Schizosaccharomyces pombe: one gene and its partner. Changing the gene in region 1 together with any one later gene gives a genetic interaction. Each region holds a gene or a part of one and is shown on either strand. Other genes may lie near its edges.

Region 1 (3,758 bases):
GGCATTTGCTTGACAATGCCTTTCCAATCAATGGCATTTATGGAGATTGCTTCTCCGCATTGCCTTTGTACATGTTCTAGTAGTTTTAAACTATCCGCGACGTAAAATTTGCGTTTACCCTTTGATTTCTTCTTTTTTCTCTTCTTCCTTTTCTTCCCTTGATCCTCCTCTTGACGTTGGTTAGAAGAATAAGATGCGATTGTTTTTTCGTACTGTTTTCGACAGCTTTCCGGCGACTTAGTCCCAAGCTTCTTCGATATGCTATGCCATGCAATGGAATCAGATGCCGGTATTTCCCGTTGTATGTTTGAAGTAGTGTGATTATTGTGTGTGAAAAGGCTTGTCATTTTTTTTGTGTGAAAAGACGACCGGTAAGAAGACTTTACCAAGTCTAATAGCTTTGCTTCCTCTTCATTCGTCCATAATTTGCGCCGATCAATTGTTTCCTGAGTACTAGTACCTACAACAAACCTCCATTGACTCATGCACGCGGCAGGTGACGTTCCCAGTTTGTTCGCTATGCTGTTCCACCGCGTTCCCTCTTGTTCAACTAGGGTGTACAGCTTTTTTAGCTCACTTTCCTCCCATGCATTCCTATCTTTCGGATCCAACGGCTTGTAGATTTCCTTCAAATAACGAATAATTCCTTTTCTTGAAATAGAAGTAGGCAGCAATTCGCGTAGTTCGTTGTATAGAAAGTTGATATTTGTATGTCTTAAGCTTGAAGAACTCATCCGGAAGCCAAACTCTTGTAAATCTACGCCTTCATTATTACAATAAGACAAAACTACTTTTTGAATCACTTGTGCGTCTTCTAGAGAAAAATTAAGTTGCGAATCCTCTTCAGCAGCCAAGCTTCCAATGTCTATCTTTTCGTAACCGGCGACTTGAAAAAAAGCACGCATGTACTTTAGTAAACTATTTTCTTTTCGATTCAGAAAAGATGCTACTGACTCTAAAAACCCTTGAAGTCGACTCCCAGCATGTTCGTCTTCCAATATCTCGATCATTTGCTCCCGTGATATAGACCGAATCGTTAACAATTCATCAATCCTTGCTTGAAACCACTTTTCATGCTCCTCTGTCCATGCATCCTTTCTTTTCTTTGCATTGAAAGAGTTTGTGCTTTCAACTTTGCTTTCAGAATCGTCAGAAGAGGATCGCGCAATTTTACGCTTTGATGCATGATCACTACATGTTTTGACAACGACAGAGGAAAGTGGACTATTTTCCAATAACTGTCGTGTAGCTTCCATACAATCTTTATGGTCATCTGACACAGGCTCACTAGTTCCTCCTAAGGAGTGAGCACGTGAAGGCTTATGTATAAGTGACCCCATTTCAAACTCAAACTCATTATCTTCATCAAATTCGTAAACATCTTTTCTTTTCATAGATTTCATTAAACTTCCAGGCCGAGATTTATTATTAGTGATATTGAAGGTATTGTGATCTGTAAACATAACGTCTCTTTCTTGCATTGCACCCTTACTGCTACATGAAAGTGTAGGACTTTCCAAATTTGAGCGTGTTCCCTGGTTTTCATTTATTGTCATGTCGATAGCTAACATCATTAATTTACAATGCCTTCTAATAACGGGTTAGCCAATTCATGATGAAGTAAGGACGCCAAGGGAAATTTATGAATGTTTAACTATTTTTGTTTGAGAGTTTCAACGGATTTATCTATTTTTTTTCATGCTTTTTAAACTTTCATAAGATTATTATTACGAGAACATAAAATTAAACAACCATCATACGGTTTCTGTTCAACCTCTTCAAGAACCCATTCAAATATCCTTGCATAACCAATTGTTTCTGCTTACCTTGTAAATTAATTATTTCGATTTAGATAGTCTTAAAATATTGCATTTCTTTGCCTTTAATTTCTGTCGTGGTAGATGGAAGGTTTGTAAGTTAGTGTAAACAAAGAATATGCGCGACGCGTCGCGCACTTAAAATGTGTGTTACTTTTTTGATTTCATGTCACTCATCGTTTCTTTATTCTGTCTAAAGATTCGTATCTATGAAGTTTCTGGGGCAATACATTAACAAAGAAACTTTCTTTGTTATTGTAAGTTATAAATGTTGACTAGTCCAACCACACTACTTAACAATTACCAACAGCTTTTCAACAGTTTTGGAAGGGCAATTGAGAAATTGCTAGAGACGGTTTTGAAGGACGCTTTTGCAATTCCCTCAAGGCATCTTTGCTTGGCAATATTTGAAGCATCATTTTTTTATTGAATAACCATTGTGGGCCTTTAATCTCAATTGCGAAGATACATTTGTCTGGTTTTTTGAAATTCTTCCCTTTTACGATTTTTGTATATTTTCTATTTCTTTTGTTATTCCTATATTTTATAAGCTTGCAACCTAATATTTGTATTATTGTTGCTAGCGCCTGTTTTTGAAGTGCTGCCGAACGTCCTTCTTTCGCATTATTTAATTTAATACTAAACTAATTTGATAAAGGGATTTCTAATACATCCTTGTCTATTTCTGTCTTTGGCTGGCAAACCGACTTTTTTCAATATTGTCGGATTTAAAGCACAAAGGATTGCATAACATAATTTATTACAAAGAACGTTGTAATTCTTTTTAATTCTATTTATCTATTCATATCGCTTCATTTCTTTCAAGTTTTTCAATTTGTAGTCTAATGGCGAGCGCTACTTCCACGCCTACTATTGCGGATGGGAATTCCAACAAGGAGTCAGTAGCTACAAGTCGAAGCCCACACACGCATGATCTAAACTTTGAGCTACCAGAGGAATACGAAATGATCAATCTCATCGGTCAAGGTGCTTATGGAGTTGTATGTGCCGCGCTTCACAAACCCAGCGGCCTAAAGGTGGCTGTTAAAAAAATACATCCTTTCAATCATCCTGTGTTTTGTCTAAGAACTTTAAGGGAAATCAAGTTACTCAGACATTTTCGTCATGAAAATATAATTTCAATTCTAGACATCCTTCCACCACCGAGCTACCAGGAATTGGAAGATGTTTATATTGTACAAGAGCTTATGGAAACGGATTTGTACCGTGTTATACGTTCGCAGCCCTTAAGCGATGATCATTGTCAATACTTTACGTATCAAATTTTGCGCGCTCTGAAAGCCATGCATAGTGCTGGAGTTGTTCATAGAGACCTGAAGCCATCAAACTTACTACTAAATGCCAATTGTGATCTCAAAGTTGCCGATTTCGGTTTGGCACGTTCCACCACAGCTCAAGGCGGAAATCCTGGCTTTATGACTGAGTATGTCGCAACTCGTTGGTATCGAGCACCGGAAATTATGCTGAGTTTCCGAGAATACAGCAAAGCTATTGATTTATGGAGTACTGGTTGTATACTTGCTGAGATGCTTTCTGCTCGACCATTGTTCCCAGGAAAGGACTATCATAGTCAAATTACTTTAATCCTTAACATTCTAGGAACGCCTACTATGGACGATTTTTCAAGAATTAAATCTGCACGTGCGAGGAAATATATTAAAAGTCTTCCATTTACTCCTAAAGTATCATTCAAAGCACTCTTTCCTCAGGCATCACCAGATGCTATTGACCTTTTAGAAAAATTACTGACATTTAATCCTGATAAGCGTATAACTGCAGAAGAGGCTCTAAAGCACCCGTATGTAGCTGCTTATCATGATGCCAGTGATGAGCCTACAGCATCCCCCATGCCTCCCAACCTCGTCGATTTATACTGTAACAAAGAAGATCTCGAAATACCGGTATTGAAGGCCTTAATAT
Region 2 (3,567 bases), 1.6 Mb from region 1:
TAGCTTAAGCAATGTCTCAGTTATAATTAAGCTATAGGAAGGTCAACTATTTTTGCTTCACTATATTTTGTATTCTGAAGAACATATTGATGTGTAGGATCGATAGCGTAGCCCAGTCAAGCAATCGAGAACTGTAAACCTATGTTGACTGTGCAGTCGGAAATATGTGAAAGACGCATGGTTCTAAGGTTGATATTTTTTTATTTTTACTGTTAAAGTTGATTCTTGTATGGTTGATATCCACCAGAAATATACAAGTTCTTAATTCAGTCAATTCTGATCATTGCAAATTCCACTGAGAACTTCTGAAATGCAAGCTTGGTCGTACTGGTAAAGAAATAGGACTTAATATTAACTCATGTGAAATTTAAAATATTCAGTACGATACATTATAAGTGATGAAGCAAAAAACTATTGCTATTATTCAAAACCTTTAAAATTCGTATAGCAAAACTTATAGCCGAATATTGTTACGATTTAAGCATTAAATTACGAGGTCATATTGTACAAAATAACTGCATGAAACGACTATTTATTCATCCAAAATTCCTAATATAACCAATCCGAAAAAGTTTATTTGTCCAGTGTCTTTGAAGTATTTGTAAAACAAACAAACAAACAAAATTAATCCATTTTACTCCGAAGCGGCCGAAGGCTTCTCTTCAGAAGCGTTAGATGACCTTTGCTTCTTAAATTTTCTTCCTCTGTTACTATATTTACCAGGACGCTGACGATCCATCTCTTTAAAAGCGTCAAAACGTCTGCGTTTGCTGCTAAACTTTGGTGGATCGTTTTTATGTAATTCAGCTTTCATGTCAACATACTCCTTTTTGCTCATTATAGTGAGCTCGTCCTCGCCCCATTTCAAAGGTGCAGTTTTGACTTTCTCAAGAAATTTATTAGCAACATCGGGTTCCTTGAATTCAACAAATACGCTTCCCTTAAATTTTTTATCGTCATCCCTTCTCATACGGACAGCACTAATGGGACCAGCATTTTCTTCAAAGAATTTTTCCAAAGCAATTTGAGTGTCATCTTTTTCATCACCGAAACCTTTGCAGTAGACACTTCTTTCCATGACGCTCTTGTTGTCTACACGAACTAGAGGAATCATACGACGTACTTTTTCGCCAGCTTCATCGACTTCAAGAAGTTCAGGACTCTTGCGAAGAGCATTTACAATGGCTTCCAAAGGCTGAAAACGACGCATACGTTTGAAATTAGCAATTGTTTGAATGGGAACCCATCCATCATTTTTTTGAGAAGTAGTCCATAAAAATTTATCATGGGGTAAGTTGGTGTCCGAAAAATAAAATTCTATTCATACTGTTAGTAACGACCACTCAACACAAAAAAGGTTTTAATCCAACGTAAACAAAGTGTGTAACATACCAACTTGCTTTAAAACTTCAGCTTCATCAAAAGATAAATCTTTTTTTCCATCATCTTCCTTCTTTTCAGTAGTTTCCTCCTTTTTTTCTTCACTAGTAGTATCTTTTTGACTTTCTACTACTTTTCCAGCTTCCTCGGCCTTGGGAACCTCTGAAGAATTCTCCTGCTTAGATGAGATGTCCTTAATTTCTTCCTTCTGTTCTTCAGTTGACATGATGTTAATTATTCGTAGAGAGACAGGCAAAGGGCAAATTTCATAAGAAGTTGGATTCCTCTCCTAGAAGCATTTCTAACCCTACCCTATTATCGAACTGACATTATTTTCCTACTCATGAAGACAATGTTAAAAGTTGGCACTTAAAAAAGAAGTAGTTTATTCATAATAGATTTATAATAGATAGAATAATCCCATGAATTTCCATTGTTTTTTTTTTTGAAAAGATTAACAGAGATTGCTCCTTACAATGTAGCTCTGGATACAATTTAACCATAATGACAAGCAGTAGCTTTTAGTTTTCCTATTTATGATTCTTTACCGACAATTGCAATATAACCTATAATATCAAGATTCCCCATTCGAATTATCATTTAATATCCACTTTATTGTAGAACCGCTAACTATTAAAACCGATGTAAGACATTAATACTTTAAACTTACTCCATTTGTTGGAGTCATTATATGTTCGTTACGAGATCACTATCAAATGCTTTAATTGAATAATTTCAATTTCATATTGTTGAAGGATTTTAAATAGTAAACGGAGCGCCTCGAAAATTTTAAATTTCCTTTATAACTGACATAGGTGTAAGATTAACAATTTCTTTCTCCATGTTCATAACGTCTTCTTCAGGATTAGATGCATTATCGGAGGGTGGAGATTGTGGTTGATTATTTTCGTCAGATGTAGTCGATGGTTTCTCATTAGTTTCGGCGTCTTCCTCTTCAGACTCCCCTACCATATCTTGATAAATTTCGGGGTGTTTTTGAAAACAAGCCTGCATAGCTTGAAATTTGTCAAGACATTCCATACCTTTTGGTTCACTCTTGGAATAAACGAAGCAACTAAAAGCTGCTTTGAATTCTTCTCCACATGGACCATGAGCCATACCTCCAAGACAGGGACAATCCCAGTTAATCTCTCCAGTATCCGGATTAAATGCTGACTCCTCGCTGCTCTCCTCCTCCACTTCCTCAAATTTCCTAGCATATTCATCATCATCTTTACCAGTGGCTATTTGTTCTCGAAGTATATTTCCAGCTGTCTCCCCGCTGGATTTTTCCTTATCAGTTTTCTTCGGTGCACTATTCTCAGTAGCGCTGACCTTGCGGCCTTTCTCGTCAGTCGAAGGTTGTGTTTCACTTGTCATTTTCTTCTCAATGGCATCTTCAATTCGGTGTCGCTGCATATATGGTTCATTATACGCTATATTGTTAGTTAAATTCATATAATCGTACAGAAAAAGATAGCCATTTCAAACATATGATACTTACATTGTGTTTCCGTATGGACATGTTCGCCTACAACAGGATGGTCATTATCTTGACTCGATGATGCATTTGAAGTGTTTTTTCCAAGTAAATATCCAGCAGTCAAAGAAGCAGCTGCAACGCCAGATACAATAGGCAAAAAACGGCCTTTCCATACATCAGTTTTGGTTGCAGTACCAAATTTTCGACAAATGCCTGCTTGAAATCCATTTCTCTGCAGTAGAGACCTTCTCATATTATTGTAACCGTTAATCCTTATACATTTTGGAAATCTGAAAAGTAAGTTTTTAGCAAACATGGTTTTTTTGATTTATGGGAAGTTGAGCTCTGAACTTCTAATGTCTGCGTAATGGTCAGAAAGCGGCGACGATCTTACAAGAACGTAACTTTGTCATTCATTCTAAGTTTATATAAGTTTGCATGTTTTTTAAATCAGATTTAAGTAAATAGGTATTCACAAATGTAAGACAAGCAAGACTGGCAGGATTTACGAGATTACTAAGAAATGCCTGAATGACTAATTTCATAATAGAATTAAACTAGCGACATAATAGTTTCACAAGCAAACTTAGGTATGCAAAACAAAAGGTAATTCATTTATAATATTTAATTAGAAGAACGTGAGTATTATTTTCTATAATATGTTAAATTTTTACTATAATAATGTACCAGTAAACGACACTGAA

Evidence for each region.
Region 2: of spk1 (region 1) and sla1, changing one suppresses a phenotype caused by changing the other (phenotypic suppression), as found in Schizosaccharomyces pombe (one study listed by BioGRID).

The regions. Positions count from the first base shown.
Region 1 is NC_003424.3:2,999,873-3,003,630, reverse strand, and holds the start of spk1 (MAP kinase Spk1), read left to right. Parts: upstream 1-2,112; 5' UTR 2,113-2,662; coding exon 2,663-3,758. Other genes in the region: RNA polymerase I termination factor, Myb family Eta2, read right to left, coding at 1-1,574. UniProt on the Schizosaccharomyces pombe protein: Involved in mating signal transduction pathway.
Region 2 is NC_003424.3:1,381,908-1,385,474, forward strand, and holds sla1 (La-motif domain-containing protein), read right to left. Parts: upstream 1,642-3,567; 5' UTR 1,607-1,641; coding exon 1,393-1,606; exon of another isoform or gene 1,318-1,392; coding exon 635-1,317; 3' UTR 501-634; downstream 1-500. Other genes in the region: disulfide relay system thiol oxidase subunit Mia40, read right to left, coding at 2,170-2,816, 2,885-3,179.